2 linked regions of the Caenorhabditis elegans genome follow. The protein of the gene in region 2 purifies or fractionates together with the protein of the main gene of each other region. This does not show direct contact. Each region holds a gene or a part of one and is shown on either strand. Other genes may lie near its edges.

What was found. Proteins that work in one complex are often made in the same cells at the same time.
Region 1: the proteins of crn-6 (region 2) and crn-1 purify together in Caenorhabditis elegans (affinity purification with western blotting, with the first as the bait; one study listed by BioGRID). This does not show direct contact.

Annotation. Positions count from the first base shown.
Region 1 is NC_003279.8:3,478,729-3,486,128, forward strand, and holds crn-1 (Flap endonuclease 1), read left to right. Parts: upstream 1-3,268; 5' UTR 3,269-3,301; coding exon 3,302-3,391; intron 3,392-3,735; coding exon 3,736-4,443; intron 4,444-5,234; coding exon 5,235-5,386; intron 5,387-5,438; coding exon 5,439-5,637; 3' UTR 5,638-5,772; downstream 5,773-7,400. Other genes in the region: Y47G6A.9 (DNA-directed RNA polymerase III subunit), read left to right, coding at 628-759, 1,317-1,500, 1,782-1,966, 2,457-2,621. UniProt on the Caenorhabditis elegans protein: Structure-specific nuclease with 5'-flap endonuclease and 5'-3' exonuclease activities involved in DNA replication and repair.
Region 2 is NC_003281.10:9,364,532-9,372,570, reverse strand, and holds crn-6 (Cell death-related nuclease 6), read right to left. Parts: upstream 5,301-8,039; 5' UTR 5,299-5,300; coding exon 5,207-5,298; intron 4,613-5,206; coding exon 4,510-4,612; intron 4,463-4,509; coding exon 4,379-4,462; intron 4,333-4,378; coding exon 4,104-4,332; intron 4,056-4,103; coding exon 3,946-4,055; intron 3,806-3,945; coding exon 3,718-3,805; intron 3,669-3,717; coding exon 3,547-3,668; intron 3,479-3,546; coding exon 3,335-3,478; intron 3,283-3,334; coding exon 3,166-3,282; coding exon of another isoform or gene 3,133-3,165; exon of another isoform or gene 2,971-3,132; intron 2,335-2,970; coding exon 2,287-2,334; 3' UTR 2,190-2,286; downstream 1-2,189. Other genes in the region: flp-25 (FMRF-Like Peptide), read right to left, coding at 7,395-7,483. UniProt on the Caenorhabditis elegans protein: Involved in apoptotic DNA degradation.

The DNA of each region.
Region 1 (7,400 bases), on a different chromosome or scaffold from region 2:
ATATAAAACCAAAATCCGATTTTTTTAGATTAAAAAATAAGCTTTTTGGATTTAATTTAGAATATTAAAGACTTTGAGCTTTTTTGCTGAGAAATCAATCAAGATTTTCTGGGTAAAAAAATTCAAAAACTGAAAAACCACATTTCACGAAATAAAATTCGAAAATTGTGTGGAATATAAAAAATACCAGAGATTTATATGAATAATCAATATTTCTGAGAAAAATACCTAAAAATTCAAAAAAATTCAAAATAGACTTCAGAAAAAAGCCACAAACGGAAACTGAAAAAATCCAACTTTTAAAAACTCGATTTTTCATTTTTGGCTAATTAATTTCCTCCAAAATGAGCACTGCGACCAATCAGCGATTTGCTCCGCCCATTTTTCAACCAATCAAACGGAGTGGGCGGAGTTCGAAGACGCTGATTCTCATTTTGGAAGGAATTAAAATTGGAAATTTTGCCAAAATGAAAAAAAAAACGATTTTGTTGTGGTTTCTCTGAATATAAAACTATTTTGGGAATTTTAAGACAAACTGGGTTACTGTAATGGAGCTAGACCAGTCTACAGTAACCGGGGCTTAAAGGCGCACGCTTCAAAATGATTAAAAACCTTTTGAAATTCCAGATGAGCGGAAGAGGACGTGGTGGCGGATCTTCGAACACTATGCGTAGTGTCGCCAACGCGTTGGGAATCGCTCGATACGATATGGCGAAAATGATGTCACAGCAGAAGAATGAGCCGCCACAGTTGTATCCGGTACGGGCTGTGGAGCACCGGAATAAGAATTTGAAATTTTTTGAAAAAAAATCTGGAAAAATTGAATAAAAAACCATAATTTTATCACCCAATTTTGCGACTTTTCCGTCAAAGTGTCAAAGTGTCTGGTCTCGACACGGCAATTTTTTATTAGTTCAGAAAAGGTGTGCGCCTTTAAAGATTACTGTAGCTTCAAACTTTCGTTTCTGCGGAATTTTTATCGATTTTTTTCTCTCGATTTGTAAACATTTTATTGTTTTTATTACTCTAATATTTCAGTTTGTTAATAAATATATTTTTATCGAAAAACTAAGAAAAATATATGAAAATTGCGTAAAAAGTTTGAAATTACAGTACTCTTTAAAGGCGCACACCTTTTTGCATTTAACAAGTTTGTCGTGTCGAGACCGGGTACCGTAGTTTTAGCAGAAATTTCTCGTTTTTTCGAATTCCTTCCAGAATCCAAAAAAAAAGAAGCCAATTCTTCAACTGAACTAGTCCTAAATTTACTTGAAATCTTTGAAAATCAGTATTTTAATGAAATTTGTATTTTTCAGAAAGTGCAACATGACCCCGTTCCACTTGAAATGACGACTGACATGCTCTACGTATCCCGTTTAAAAGTTGAACTTGATCAACGAATGCGTGATTCACAGTTCTTTATTGAAGCAGAGAAAGACGACGAAATTAAGCGTTATTTGGATAAATATTCGAATATTAAGAGGGAAAAGCTTAGCATTGGTACGGAAATCTAGGTGAAATTGTGTCTCAATTTCAGAAAAAACAAAAAAAAAATTTGAAAATTCAACTTTTTGGCTAAATGAGAAGAGCGGCCAATCAGCGATTTGCTCCGCCCATTTTTCAACCAATCAGATGGAATGGGCGGAGTTGGAAGATGCTGATTGGTCGGAGAGTTCGAGGAAATTAGCCAAAAAAAGATTGAATTTTTCTATTTTCTGTAGCGCTTTTTCTGAATTTAAGGCGATTTTTTAACCTTTTCAAATTCATAAAATCCATTTTAGATATGTCCCATATGCCGAATGAGCTCATTTGGCGCCGAGCTAGCTCGAAATCCAAGGAATCTTTGGCAAAACGACGAAAAGTCGCCAATGACGATTCGATGATCAAGGAGAAGTTGAAAAAATTGGAAGAAAAAGAAGCACAGAATAAGGATGATGATGATGACGATGAGAAGGCTGATAATGATGTAATAGATATTTTAATTTCAGATTTTTGACATTTTATATGGGACAGGGCATTTTTTAGCACTTTTTTTTCAGAAAAAATCGAAAAATAATTTTCAGAAAAATCGAAGTAAATAAGTAGAAGAAATGCACGGAAAATGACGAGAAAACTAAAAATCGAAATTTTTCGTTTTTTCGAGAAAAATAATCAAATTTTCAATAATTTCGGGTTATTCCTCATGAATTGCAAAAAAAAAATATTTTCTCATCAAAATTGGCATATCTTTTGATGAATCTAGAGTTTTCTCGTCCCTTTATTTCTGAAAATAAAATTTAATTTTAGTTGAAACATTTGGAAAACTGCTCAAAAAATGTTCGAAAGTTGGAAATTTCTAATTTTCAGACGATTTTTGAGTGGTTTTTCAATTGTTTCAACTAAAATAGGAGCTATTTTCAGATAAATCACTACATTTTAATGAAAATAATTGGAAAAAAATCATATCTTAATTTCAGAAAGACTCTGGCAGTGAAAAATCCGCGGCAGAAGAGGAGGAGAATCCATTATCAGATGATGACAATCAGGAGGAGGATAACGATTACATCTCGGCTTACTTTGATAATGGAGAAGGATATGGGGACGGCGGTAGCGATGATAATTTGGATGCCGATGATATTTAAAGAATCTCCGGACACTTTTTTTGTTGTTTTTGTTGTTTTTCTCTCAATTTTTGAATATCATTGTTAAATATATGAATTTATTTATTGATTTTCCCTTAAATTTAACCCTTTTATTCGTTATTAGCTTCAGATTTAACCAATTGGTTCAGAAAATCGGTTTTTTCAAGGAAAAAAGTGTCCAAATAATGATTACGCAATCGCGCTCCATGGACAACTAATTGAACGCACCGTTTTCCCGCCAAATTGAACGCAGCTCCGATATTTTTTATCCTTTCTTGGGGTTTTTTATAGTGAGAAACACAATTTTAAGCAAATATTTTATTGTTTTTAATCAATTTTAAACGAAAAATATATTAGAATTGTTAATTTATCGTTTCGCAATCTCATACTCATCTTATTTTCTCGAAATCTTGGAGAATATCGGGGGTTTTTCGTTTTTTACGTCAGGAAAGTGCGGCGAAATCCGTATAAATTCGGTGAAATTTCATGAATTTGACTGATATCGTTCGGTAAAACCTAAAAAACCCTATTTAATTGGAGAACAAAAAGGAAAATCGTGTTTTTTTTTCGAAATTCGCTGTAATTCGTTTCCTACCCCCGTTTTCCACTCAAAAATCCACAAACTTCCCAATTTCAGAATATTTCAGATATAAATTCACAAGGACTAACCCCACACCGCTATGGGAATTAAAGGACTCTCCCAAGTGATTGCTGATAATGCTCCCTCCGCGATTAAAGTCAACGAGATGAAGGCGTTCTTCGGAAGAACAGTACGGGAATTTTTTCCTTAGATTTGCAAAATTGAAGGTTCAAAAATTCGAAAAAATAATTTTTTAAAGCGAAAATCTCCAATTTCGTCTACTTTTCTGTGCGCCGCAGTCTGATTTTCATATTTTAAAATATTTTAGTCGTTTATCTCCTGCTATTTTGTTGATTAATGATTTATCGGTTCGACGCGATAAATCAGAAAAATTTGAAGATTTTCAGCTCTAAAATTGGCTCATTTTTACATAATTTTGAACATTTTGAAGAAATTTCCGGGTAAATGTCTTAAATTTCGACGAGTTTTGAGTCTTTACAAGCAAAAAAACAAAAAAAAATGTTTTTTTTTCAGGTAGCAATCGACGCATCAATGTGCCTCTACCAATTCCTCATTGCTGTTCGTCAAGATGGTTCCCAGCTTCAAAGTGAAGATGGAGAAACCACAAGTCACTTGATGGGAATGCTGAATCGTACGGTTCGAATGTTCGAGAACGGAGTGAAGCCTGTCTACGTTTTCGACGGAAAACCACCGGATATGAAGGGTGGAGAGCTTGAAAAACGTTCCGAGCGTCGTGCTGAAGCAGAAAAAGCGCTGACTGAGGCCAAGGAGAAGGGAGATGTTAAGGAAGCGGAGAAGTTCGAGAGAAGACTCGTAAAAGTCACAAAACAACAGAACGACGAGGCGAAGCGTTTGCTGGGATTAATGGGAATTCCAGTTGTCGAGGCTCCATGCGAGGCAGAAGCTCAGTGTGCTCATCTCGTGAAAGCTGGAAAAGTATTCGGAACTGTCACTGAGGATATGGACGCGCTGACCTTCGGCTCCACGGTTCTTCTCAGACATTTCCTGGCTCCAGTCGCCAAGAAAATCCCGATCAAGGAGTTCAATCTTTCTTTGGCTCTCGAAGAAATGAAGCTAAGCGTTGAGGAATTTATTGATTTGTGTATTCTTCTCGGCTGTGACTATTGTGGAACTATTCGAGGCGTCGGGCCTAAGAAGGCTGTTGAGCTGATCAGACAGCACAAGAATATTGAGACGATTCTTGAGAATATCGATCAAAATGTTCGTCGTTCGTAAAATGCCTATTTTATTATAAACGCGCTCCACGGCAAATAAATGCCCCGAACCATGGGTCTCGTTAGGTACTTGCCGGTGAAATCATAAATTCGAATTTTTCACTTAGTTTTGCCTTTTTTTTTAAATTAATTTTGGCATGAAAATCAATGGAAACAACTAAAAAAGCCGAAAAATTCAATAAAAAATTAGCAAATTTTGAACTTACGGTTTTGCCGCCAAATAGCTAACGAGGCCCATTATGCGTGCAAGCGTAATTTTTCGAGAAAAAAAAAATCGAATTTCCAATATTTTCCTGTCATTTTTCAATTTATTGGAGAAAAATTATTTTATTTTTCTCATCAAACTTTAAAAAAAGCTATATTGTTTCTCCTAAAGATTTATTATTGAAAAAATTATGAATTTGTTCGTTTTTCGATTTTTTCTCTGAAAAAAACTCGAAAAATTGAAAAAAAATAAATCGAAAGTTTTCAATGTTTTTTGTGAAAAAACTGACAAAAAAAAGCGGAAATTTTCAGTTTTGTCTAAAAAAATCGAAAAATTTCAATTTCCTACTAGAAAAAACCGAAAAATGGAAAATTTTCTTTTTTCTCTTAAAAAAAATCGAAAAATTTCACTTTCCTTCTAGAAAAAAACCGAAAAATCGGAATTTTTTAAACAACACTTTTGGCTCGAAAGCGGAGCCTTTTGAATTAGCAGTGGAGCGCGTTAACACATCGATTTCAAATTGGATTTTTCTGCGGATCTATAATATATCTAATTTCTAAAAAAAATTCCAGAAATACCCACCACCAGAGGATTGGCCATACAAGCGTGCTCGTGAGCTTTTCCTCAATCCAGAAGTGACAAAACCGGAAGAAGTTGAACTGACATGGAAGGAAGCCGATGTCGAAGGTGTCATTCAGTTCTTGTGCGGAGAGAAGAACTTCAAGTTTGTCCCCATGAACCTCATGAACTTCATCTAATTTTTCTTTCATTTCCAGTGAGGAGCGCATCCGAAACGCGTTGGCAAAACTGAAGACTAGCCGTAAATCTGGAACACAAGGACGAATTGACTCGTTCTTCGGAAACTCGACCAAGGTTACATGTGTGACAGCTGCGACAAAACGAAAGGCGGAGGAAGCTGAGAAGGCGAAGAAGGGAGCAAAGAAGGGTGGACCACCGAAGAAGAGAGCCAAGTAGCTCACACTAACTATTCAATTTCTTATTTGATTTTTGTGAAATATTGATTGAAACGAAATAAGGTTTTTATTTACCTTTATCCTTTTTTTAATGGAACACACAAAGCTAAGAAAACAATAAAAAATTTGGAAATTTTCAATTCCGTCAATTTGCCGATTTGCCCAACACCCATTTGCTGGAAGTTTTCAGGGTTTTTTATAAGACTGACCAATTTGGGAAATTTGAATTTTTCAATTCCGGGAATTTGACGATTTGCCGGAAAAAAATTTTGCGGCTTACCTCTGATGCATACTATTACGGGAACACTAAATTCTGAGAATGCGTATTGCACAACACATCTGACGCGCAAAATGTCTCGTAGCGAAAACTACAGTAATTCTTTAAATGATTACTGTAGCACTGTGTCGATTTACGGGATCTCGATTCTTGGCATGAATTAGTAAAATTATTATTTATGGATTGAATATTAAAATTTAGCGAAAAATGACGAAATAATACAAGAAACGGAGGAAAATTATAAATCGCTATCGATATTCAAAAAGAAATTATAAAACATTCCGAAAATCGAGCGCGTAAATCGACACAAACCGTACAGTAGTCTTTAAAAGAATTACTGTAGTTTTCGCTACGAGATATTTTGCGCGTCAAATATGTTGCGCTATCCGCATTCTTAGAATTTTGTGTTCCCGTAATAACAATACTGCGAGGTTCCTGATGGACACATCACACATTATCTGTACATTGATTTATGATGTCCCACGGGGTTCTGGCCGCTCCATTGACAATCGCCCAAAAAAATAGATTGACATACCAAAAAATAGATTGATATACCAAAAAATAGATTGACATACCAAAAAATAGATTGACATACCAAAAAATAGATTGACATACCAAAAAATAGATTGACATACCAAAAAATAGATTGACATACCAAAAAATAGATTGACATACCAAAAAATAGATTGACATACCAAAAAATAGATTGACATACCAAAAAATAGATTGACATACCAAAAAATAGATTGACATACCAAAAAATAGATTGGCATACCAAAAAATAGATTGACATACCAAAAAATAGATTGATATACCAAAAAATAGATTGATATACCAAAAAATAGATTGACATACCAAAAAATAGATTGACATACCAAAAAATAGATTGATATACCAAAAAATAGATTGACATACCAAAAAATAGATTGACATACCAAAAAATAGATTGACATACCAAAAAATAGATTGACATACCAAAAAATAGATTGACATACCAAAAAATAGATTGACATACCAAAAAATAGATTGACATACCAAAAAATAGATTGACATACCAAAAAATAGATTGACATACCAAAAAATAGATTGACATACCAAAAAATAGATTGATATACCAAAAAATAGATTGACATACCAAAAAATAGATTGACATACCAAAAAATAGATTGACATACCAAAAAATAGATTGACATACCAAAAAATAGATTGACATACCAAAAAATAGATTGGTATACCAAAAAATAGATTGATATACCAAAAAATAGATTGACATACCAAAAAATAGATTGACATACCAAAAAATAGATTGACATACCAAAAAATAGATTGACATACCAAAAAATAGATTGACATACCAAAAAATAGATTGACATACCAAAAAATAGATTGACATACCAAAAAATAGATTGACATACCAAAAAATAGATTGGTATACCAAAAAATAGATTGGCATACCAAAAAATAGATTGACATACCAAAAAATAGAT
Region 2 (8,039 bases):
AAAATATAGAAATCAGGTTAGTAACTCTATGAGAAAAAAACATTCTAGTGTTCAATATAAAAATAGAACAAAGAATAACAAAAAACGAGAAAAGTACTTGAATCAAAGCTGTCCTATTCATTGAGTTTGAATGATGATATTCAAAGAAGAGCTTCCATTATTCAAATCATATAGCAACACCCACTCCGGGAAACAAAACGCCCACTAGACGTGAGCATTCGTTTTTTTTTCACAGCTGGGAGTTTAAAATTGGACTGTAAATTGTAGTGATCTAGCTTTGAATTGTTCATGGCCAAAAATGATTAATTAGTTGTAAAGAAAAAAACATTTTGCCTTTTTTATCTATTAGATTGGTTTTCCTTTTTGACAGTTTATGTCTTGGTTGACTATGGGTTTGTCAAAAAGTTTAAACATTAAAACAATTTCCATGTTAAAATGTTTTAATAAACTTAAAGATAACACTGAGCTTTCACATTCATTGAAAAAAAATGAACTGTCAAATGTACAAAATAAATTACTTACATTAATAAAATGAGAAAAGTAGAAAAATATCATCAGAAATATTCTGATTCACTTAATTCTGTACCCCGACTAAACCACAAGAAAATATGTTTTTAAAGATTTTAACTGAAATCCGATTCATGTTTTCTCATGGGGTGGTGTTCTATATCTCCGCCTACATTTACTTATTTTGAAAAGAGGAGTGTTCTTGAGAATATCAAATGTCGAGTTTGTAAAAATTAGGAAAATTAAAAAAAAAATAACTGAAATGTAGTAGACTGTATTTTCAGCGATTGCTGCCTATTTCATGCCCGAAAAATATAAGTGTGCTTGAATATGAAAGCTCGCAGGCAAACACTTTTCCCAATTTTCGCCAATTTTTTTTTGGATCAAACTTGGGCTCAACACCCCAGTCCAGCCTGAAATTTGCCCAAACTTTGCCAACTTCTGAACCTTCTTCCCCACGTTTGATCTCGAAACTATATTACGGTTACTTGATCATCTTATCGCTCACATGTTTTGTCCTTTTTAAATCCTTTGATTCTTCTTCTTGCCATTTCATTAAAACGTGAACGAATAAATATATAACCAAGTAGAGGATTTGGGCGACTTTCAGAAAATCAGAAAATACATTGCTTCAAATTGTTAAGCCCTCTTAGAGAGTAAGGAAAAAAGGAAACTGAACTGTTTTGACAATGAGCAAAGTATTTTCTTATTTCTTTTCAACAATGGCATCTAGTAAATAAAAATCCGAAAGATGAAGTGGAATTGTGCTTCTATTATCTAAAAAAGAAATGAGGGAATAAAAGATAAAAAAGGGACGAAGCGTGCGGTCACTCAACCAAACCAAATCTTGCTAAATTCATTCAAATATCCATATTCACATATTGCAAAAAATAAATAAATAATGGTTGAATAATTACAACAGATGCTAACTGTCTATATTTGGGAGTCCATACGCTTCACTAATCAAAAATTGAATATTTCATGAAAAATTATAATTTATTGAAATTCAGAAAGGACACTTATGAAAGTCTTCTGACATATGATTGTGCAGGTGAAGAGAAGTTTATTGAGAATACTTGGAATTCAAAAATCATGTAAATCCTGAAAATTACTTAATTAAAGTTGAGATATATGTGATTTTCGAAAGATCAAGTAAATGAAATCATATTATTCGTGAGAAACCAACGAAACATAATGCTGAAATATACTTTATGGAAATAACTTTAGCACTGTGGGTCGAAAAATTTTTAGTAACTGAATATCTCTGTAGGGCATCTAAGTAAAAAAAATACATGACTGAAAGGCGGGGGAAGGCCGCTCACGCCTTTCTCGTTCCTACAGACAGAGACATAGATTATGTCGGGCACATTGCAAAATGATTAACTTTCTGAAGGCCCCGCAAAGGCAGGCATGCTTGAGGTAGTTAAAACAGATCTTATAAGAATAGTGAAATGCCCCAAAAAAATTGGCAAATCTCAAATAGTTGGCGGCTATGAAACTTAATGGAGGAAAAGTTAAAGTTGCACCAACTCCGGAAAGTCTCAGCTCACGAAAAGTGAAGTCAGAGAGTTATTTATCTACTGTTTAAAGTTATTATTTAGAAATTAATATTTTTGTTGAAGTCCGACGTTTAGTAAAAGAAACAGGTGAGAAAAAACGAATAATCGAACAAAAATCTGGTACTTGAAAAACTTTTTATTGGTTTTTACATTACACACATATCCCATGGCTCCCGGATGCACAATTGTTGTTTTTATGATTTCAAAATTGCTATCAAGATCACTTAAAGAAGGTTATAATTGCGATAAGAAGAACTGTTAGGGTCGCCTGAAATGAGGAAGAAGATTAAGTGACGGATCAGCAGGAAGAGAGAGCTCAAGCAAAGAAATGATCAAAAAGCGCAGTGTTTTGAAACAAATAAATGGAAAGACATTGTTTGACATGATACTTGTGAGAGACACTTCACTCACTACGTTTTTTGAACTTCAACCTTTTTTTTGACTTTGCATTCCAAAATCTCGTGGCTATGACGTTTCAGCATGAAATTTCAAAAAAATTCAAAAAGGAGTTTTGGAATTTTCGAGAGAATATAATTAATTAAAAATTAGAAAAAAGGTTGTCAAAAGCGCGATAATTCAAATAGGAGATTTGCGAGAGCTGAAATATCACTAACAACCATGATCATTTTTTTAAACTTTTTGAATTAAAAAAAACTTTTGTGGCATCTTAAAATTTAAAGTAAAGTTATCACCGAAAAAAACTGTTTTTCAGAACTTCGACTAATTCTAAATTAACAAAAAAGGTTCATAAAATATCCAAAAATAGACAAACGGCAGGCTACAGAAAATATGTCCGCTGTTTGGCTTCTCAAGAATTTTGACTTTAATATTTGTTTTGTACAGCTCAATTGTGTATAATATCAGCTAGTTAGCTATTTTTCAAACCGGAAAATTGATCAAAATTAGGCGGAAGTTTATATTTAAAATTGCGATGACTCAAAACACAACTGCTCCATCACTTAATTTTCAGAGGTAGTATTTTAGGGGATGGGAAAAGGGAATAACAAATACAGACAGACAACAAAGAGATAAATATTATAATTAAATGATGATTCATAAATGATATCTAGAAATATCGATTGTTGGCAAGCGCATCTACCTTTTCAGCCGTTGCTTTTGTGCAAGGCACTGTTTCACTGATGATATTTGCGAATTGGAAGTATGTTTCTTGATCGTAGATGCACATTGTTCCACCGCCACGATGGATTTGATGACTCTTAAAATAAATTCAACCAATACTTATTGTTAAATTAATGTGTTTAAAATACCTGACGATTGATATCTCCAATACAAACGTATGGAATTGGTGGCTTTGAGGAGCTTTCACTATATGCCACGACGAACTTTGAATGATCTTCATAGCTGGAGTAATCGATTGCATATGGAAGACGAATGTATTTTGCACTCATTGTCTGAAATGCAACAATTTTGAAAACTTAACTACGCTTGAATGCCAAAATATGAAAAAAAAACTCCTTACCGACTGAACATGATTGGGATCACAAACTGATGGGAGATTATACTCATCTCCGCTCTGATGATTCCATGTTTCAACTTTGATCGAAGACTTCAATGTAGGACCGACAAAATCGCTGTAGAGATCTGAATTTTCTTACAATGTTTGCGAATTGTCACAGAAATCAATTCTTACCTTTTCCCCATTCACCGGTTTTCGCGAAATGTCGGAAGTGTTGGCCACCAAGTGATTTCAAAACCTTCGTGGAAGTGAGTGGTGGACTCTGAATTCAAAAATATTACATTAAAAATTATTTTTTTTGAGATAAAAAATCAATTTTGGAAATTTGTTTGAAAACAGATTTTATAAAATGTTATATCACTTGGAAACCGGAATAGTTGTCAGGCGCAAGAAAATTCCTACCTTGTTATATTCCTTATTTTTCAATTGAGATAAAACAGGAAACTGGTTTGCAAAACTCTGTGGCAAATTGAACTGATAAGTGAATGTGTTGTAGTAGAAGAGTTGTTGAGCTGAATAGTATATTTCTTTAAAATAACTTGTATAACCGACTGTATTACCAATAGTTGCCAAGGAAACCGTATTGTAAGAAATACAAATTCCCATTTGCCCATAATAATGCGCATTTGATGGGAATCGGAACATATCTTTACTCGGGAACTTTGGAATACTGTGAATCATCCAGAATCCGGTGTATTGATCAAATACAGTAACACCCTTTGCATGTCCTGAACTATTACTCCAGATTGTGCTATCAGGCCACTCGTCATTGTACATGTAGCTGAATGTCTGAAAATTTACTTTCAAAAAAAGCAACGTTCAAGTATTATCTGACCGTATTCATATTCGAGTTATAGTACTGTTGGAGGGTATAATATACGGCATTATTCTCAACATCCATTCCTTGTGGCATAAGTTTCTGAAATTGATTATTATTGGTAAAACTTCAATTAAAAAAAAACAAACCCAATTTTTATTATTGACATCAAAATACAAGAATCCAGTTCCATTTGAAATTGGTACATTGTCTGGATGATTCCAAAGATGTGGAAGTTTGTAGAAGACGAACCTCAAATTCAATTTTTTTGAAAAAAAAAATAATTTATTGATTATCTAAAATTATGTATTTCGGCATTATGTCTTTTTGAAAGAAAAAACAACTCATGGCATCTATAAAAATTTTCATAGTTTAGTTCTGACATTCTTGAATTTCATTTTGTGATAAGCCGATTAATAATATTATTAGCCGTTCAATTTGATAAGAAAAGTGTGAAAAGTCATCAGTATAGTTTGCAAGAATATTTGATGACAAGAAAAGAAAAATGTTTGAATTGAATTCCAGAACTTTTGGAAGCGGCTGGCTGAAATTTTATCATGCAGCCCCCTAATTGTATTGCACCGACTTTACGTCAGACTGTGAAAGTGGATGTCTGGTATATTAACCCCTAATTAAACGGTATAAAATTGCGTTTTTTTTTAAATATTGATTACTTTTCCAAAACAATATGAAGCATTCAAAAATTAGTCCTGGAGCCTCTTGACACCCTACAAGTCGATCAAGCGTTTTACATGCAATACCACTAGTGAAAATACTGTAACTTTTTTTTTCTCTACAAAAGTTGCCAAACTCAGCCCAAAACTCATATATTCCCTTGTAACTCACCAATCTACATTACTTCCATTATTATCCTTGCATTGGTACGCGGCATTTGATATCCCAATAAGTGAAACTATCAAGATAATTTGACGAATCATCTGCAATAATATTTCAGAAAAAGAAGAAGAAAAAACGAAAGAAATGCAGAGTATTGAGAACGATAATTTTTTATATAGGTGTTAAAAACTCAGGACATAAGACGATTAAATGTTTTGGTACCAAAGATGAAATTTTTAGTTCTGTCACTTATTTTAGCCACTTTTCAGCGAGAGGAGAAGTTGTACTTTTCTATTTTCAGAGAAGAGGCTGTGAGTTGAGAGTCACGTGCTGATAAACTAGATTTTAAGATAGACAAAGCCTTTTCCTGTTCTTTTGAAAATGATAAATGGTCTCAGTCGTCGCCGAGAATGAAAAAGAAAATAAATTTCAATAAAATGTTTTATGAACATTGCCAGTGCTCAAAGTTCCGATATATTCCTCATAAATGAAAATACCAGACACAATTATTTTCTTGAATTATATTTCAAGCACAGTTTCTTAAACAAATCACAATAAAAAATTAAAGTTACAGTTAAATAATGAGGCTCCCTGAACACTCGAAAATTCAGTACGACAAACTTAAAAAATTGAAATATTAGATAAATGACAGATGACCAGTACCAACTCAATCAATACTGCTGACGTGGCAGCTGAACAGACACCCATTCAATAAATAACCTTTTATTGTAACCGCTGTTTGGTTAGATGATCTTATCTTTTTCTTGTCTAGTAACACCTTCTATAATTCCCATATATTCCTTATCATTTCTCGGACATCGTGACTGATGTCGTCATCAAACTGTGCTCCGAAGAGCATACAAGAATGATGTTTGCTGCGAAGAAGACATGTTAACTACAAATGAATCACTTTCTGATCTCGTTTGAAAAATTCAAGACTACTAAAAGTCGGTTTGACTCCAAAAAAAAGGCATTTTTATTAATCAATCTTTGAAATAGAGACAATGAGTTCAAAAAGGCTTTATATTAATCTTAAAAATTGCCAAAAAAAATCAAGTTTCAGTTTAAAAATTCCATTAGTATTTTGTGCAGCGACTTGATAGTGAGTTGTAAAGCTCAAAACAAAACATATTTCACAGTAAAAAAAAGTGTTGCATATCTGAAGAGACTTGAAATTTTTTTAAACTGAAATTCAGTGCAATCAAGCAGTTTTGCAGATTCATTTTATGAAAAGTTGTTTCAATATTTTGACATTGTCTAAAAAATTTAATTCTATTGCAACTGATCATTTATATTTCCCGTTCAATCCCACATTGTACTTCCCTTTCCTATTATATCAAACATTATTTCATCCAAACATCCAAAACCGCCTTCGATCGATTTTCTGAAAAGTGGAACAGCTGAAAATCTCTTCGTCATGACTTTGTTCAATTCCACCTGCTTCTCCTTCTCATTTCTCTCACCTACAGTAGTCAATAGAATTCAGTAGCATTGGGAACAAAACTCAGATATTCTTAGTCAATGTCGTAAAGGTCATTAATTTTTTAAATAATTTTTAATTAATGAAAAATGAAACTTGAGTAACTTGAGTATAACAAAACTTTGATGAAACCTGGGCGTTGCCGAACTAGAAGGTTCTGAGGGTTCCACAGGAAGTTTGAAATTTAAACGAGATATTTGTAATTTGAAAGCTTTTAATTGTGAATTTTAAGCTGCAAAATTTCCGAGCTGAGCTTGCGGTGAGCTTCCAAAGATTCTGCATAAGCGGTACACTTTTGGTATTTCATGCCAAAACATATCATTTTTGTGATTTTTTTGAAATATTTCTGAAAAAATAAGAGGAAAGTCTTGCCCAACGTTTTCGATCTTGAGCAAGAAGTTGATGCAAAAAGCAAAGCTTTCAAGCACTTTTTGCCATAAAAAATTATGTTCATCCAGGAAATACAATCAACAACGTTTTGCAAAAACAAATAAAACTAAAAATTGCAAGGTTAACGTGTCAAGGCCGGTTTATTATTGGAAGCAATCAGCACACAACATGATTCATAAATATATCGTGGTGTATCACATAAATGACAATTATTATTCAGATGGAATTAAAGAAGTAAATAATGAAAATAAATGAGATGTTGTTCTAGTTTTTTGGTGAAAAGTGGAATGTCTATGAAGGCGCCGCGTGAATATGGATGAATTGAGATCATTTCCGACCGAAACGGATGTAGTCGTACGATGCCTTCTTGATTGGAGCAGCTCTTCCAAATCGAACAAAATCATAATCTCGTTTCACTGGAAAACACTTTTTGGTTTGATAGACTTGAAAATAGAATTGTTAGGGTTATTACTCGTAAATGAATATTAATTTGATTTACCTGGGACATTGACATATCTTGATTGGACATTGCGCGAAAATAAGGAAATTGGGGGAAAATAGGATTCAGCTTGGAATAATATGTTAGATCAAAAAATTTGAGGGGTTTTGAGAAATTATTTGATAATTTGTTTTTCCAACTTTTGGCTTTTATGAATTTTAACCTTTTTGGTTTTAACGACTACATTAGCTCACCAAAAACAATTTTTACGTAGATTTCTATTAAATTAAGTTTCGATTCAAAGTGATTAGATTTTCCAGCTCTATGCAATCTTTGAGTCCTTAGAAAAGTTTCATTCATCAAGCTAATACGGAAAGATTTTTCTCAAATGACAGCTGGCAACGGATCTTAAAGTTCCAATATTTTGGCTGAGTTTTTAAGAGAAAATTAATAATTTCAAAATACTACACCACTTCAACATCTCATTATCTCCTGCCATTGGTTTTATTAAAACTTGTTCAACTTTAAAAAAA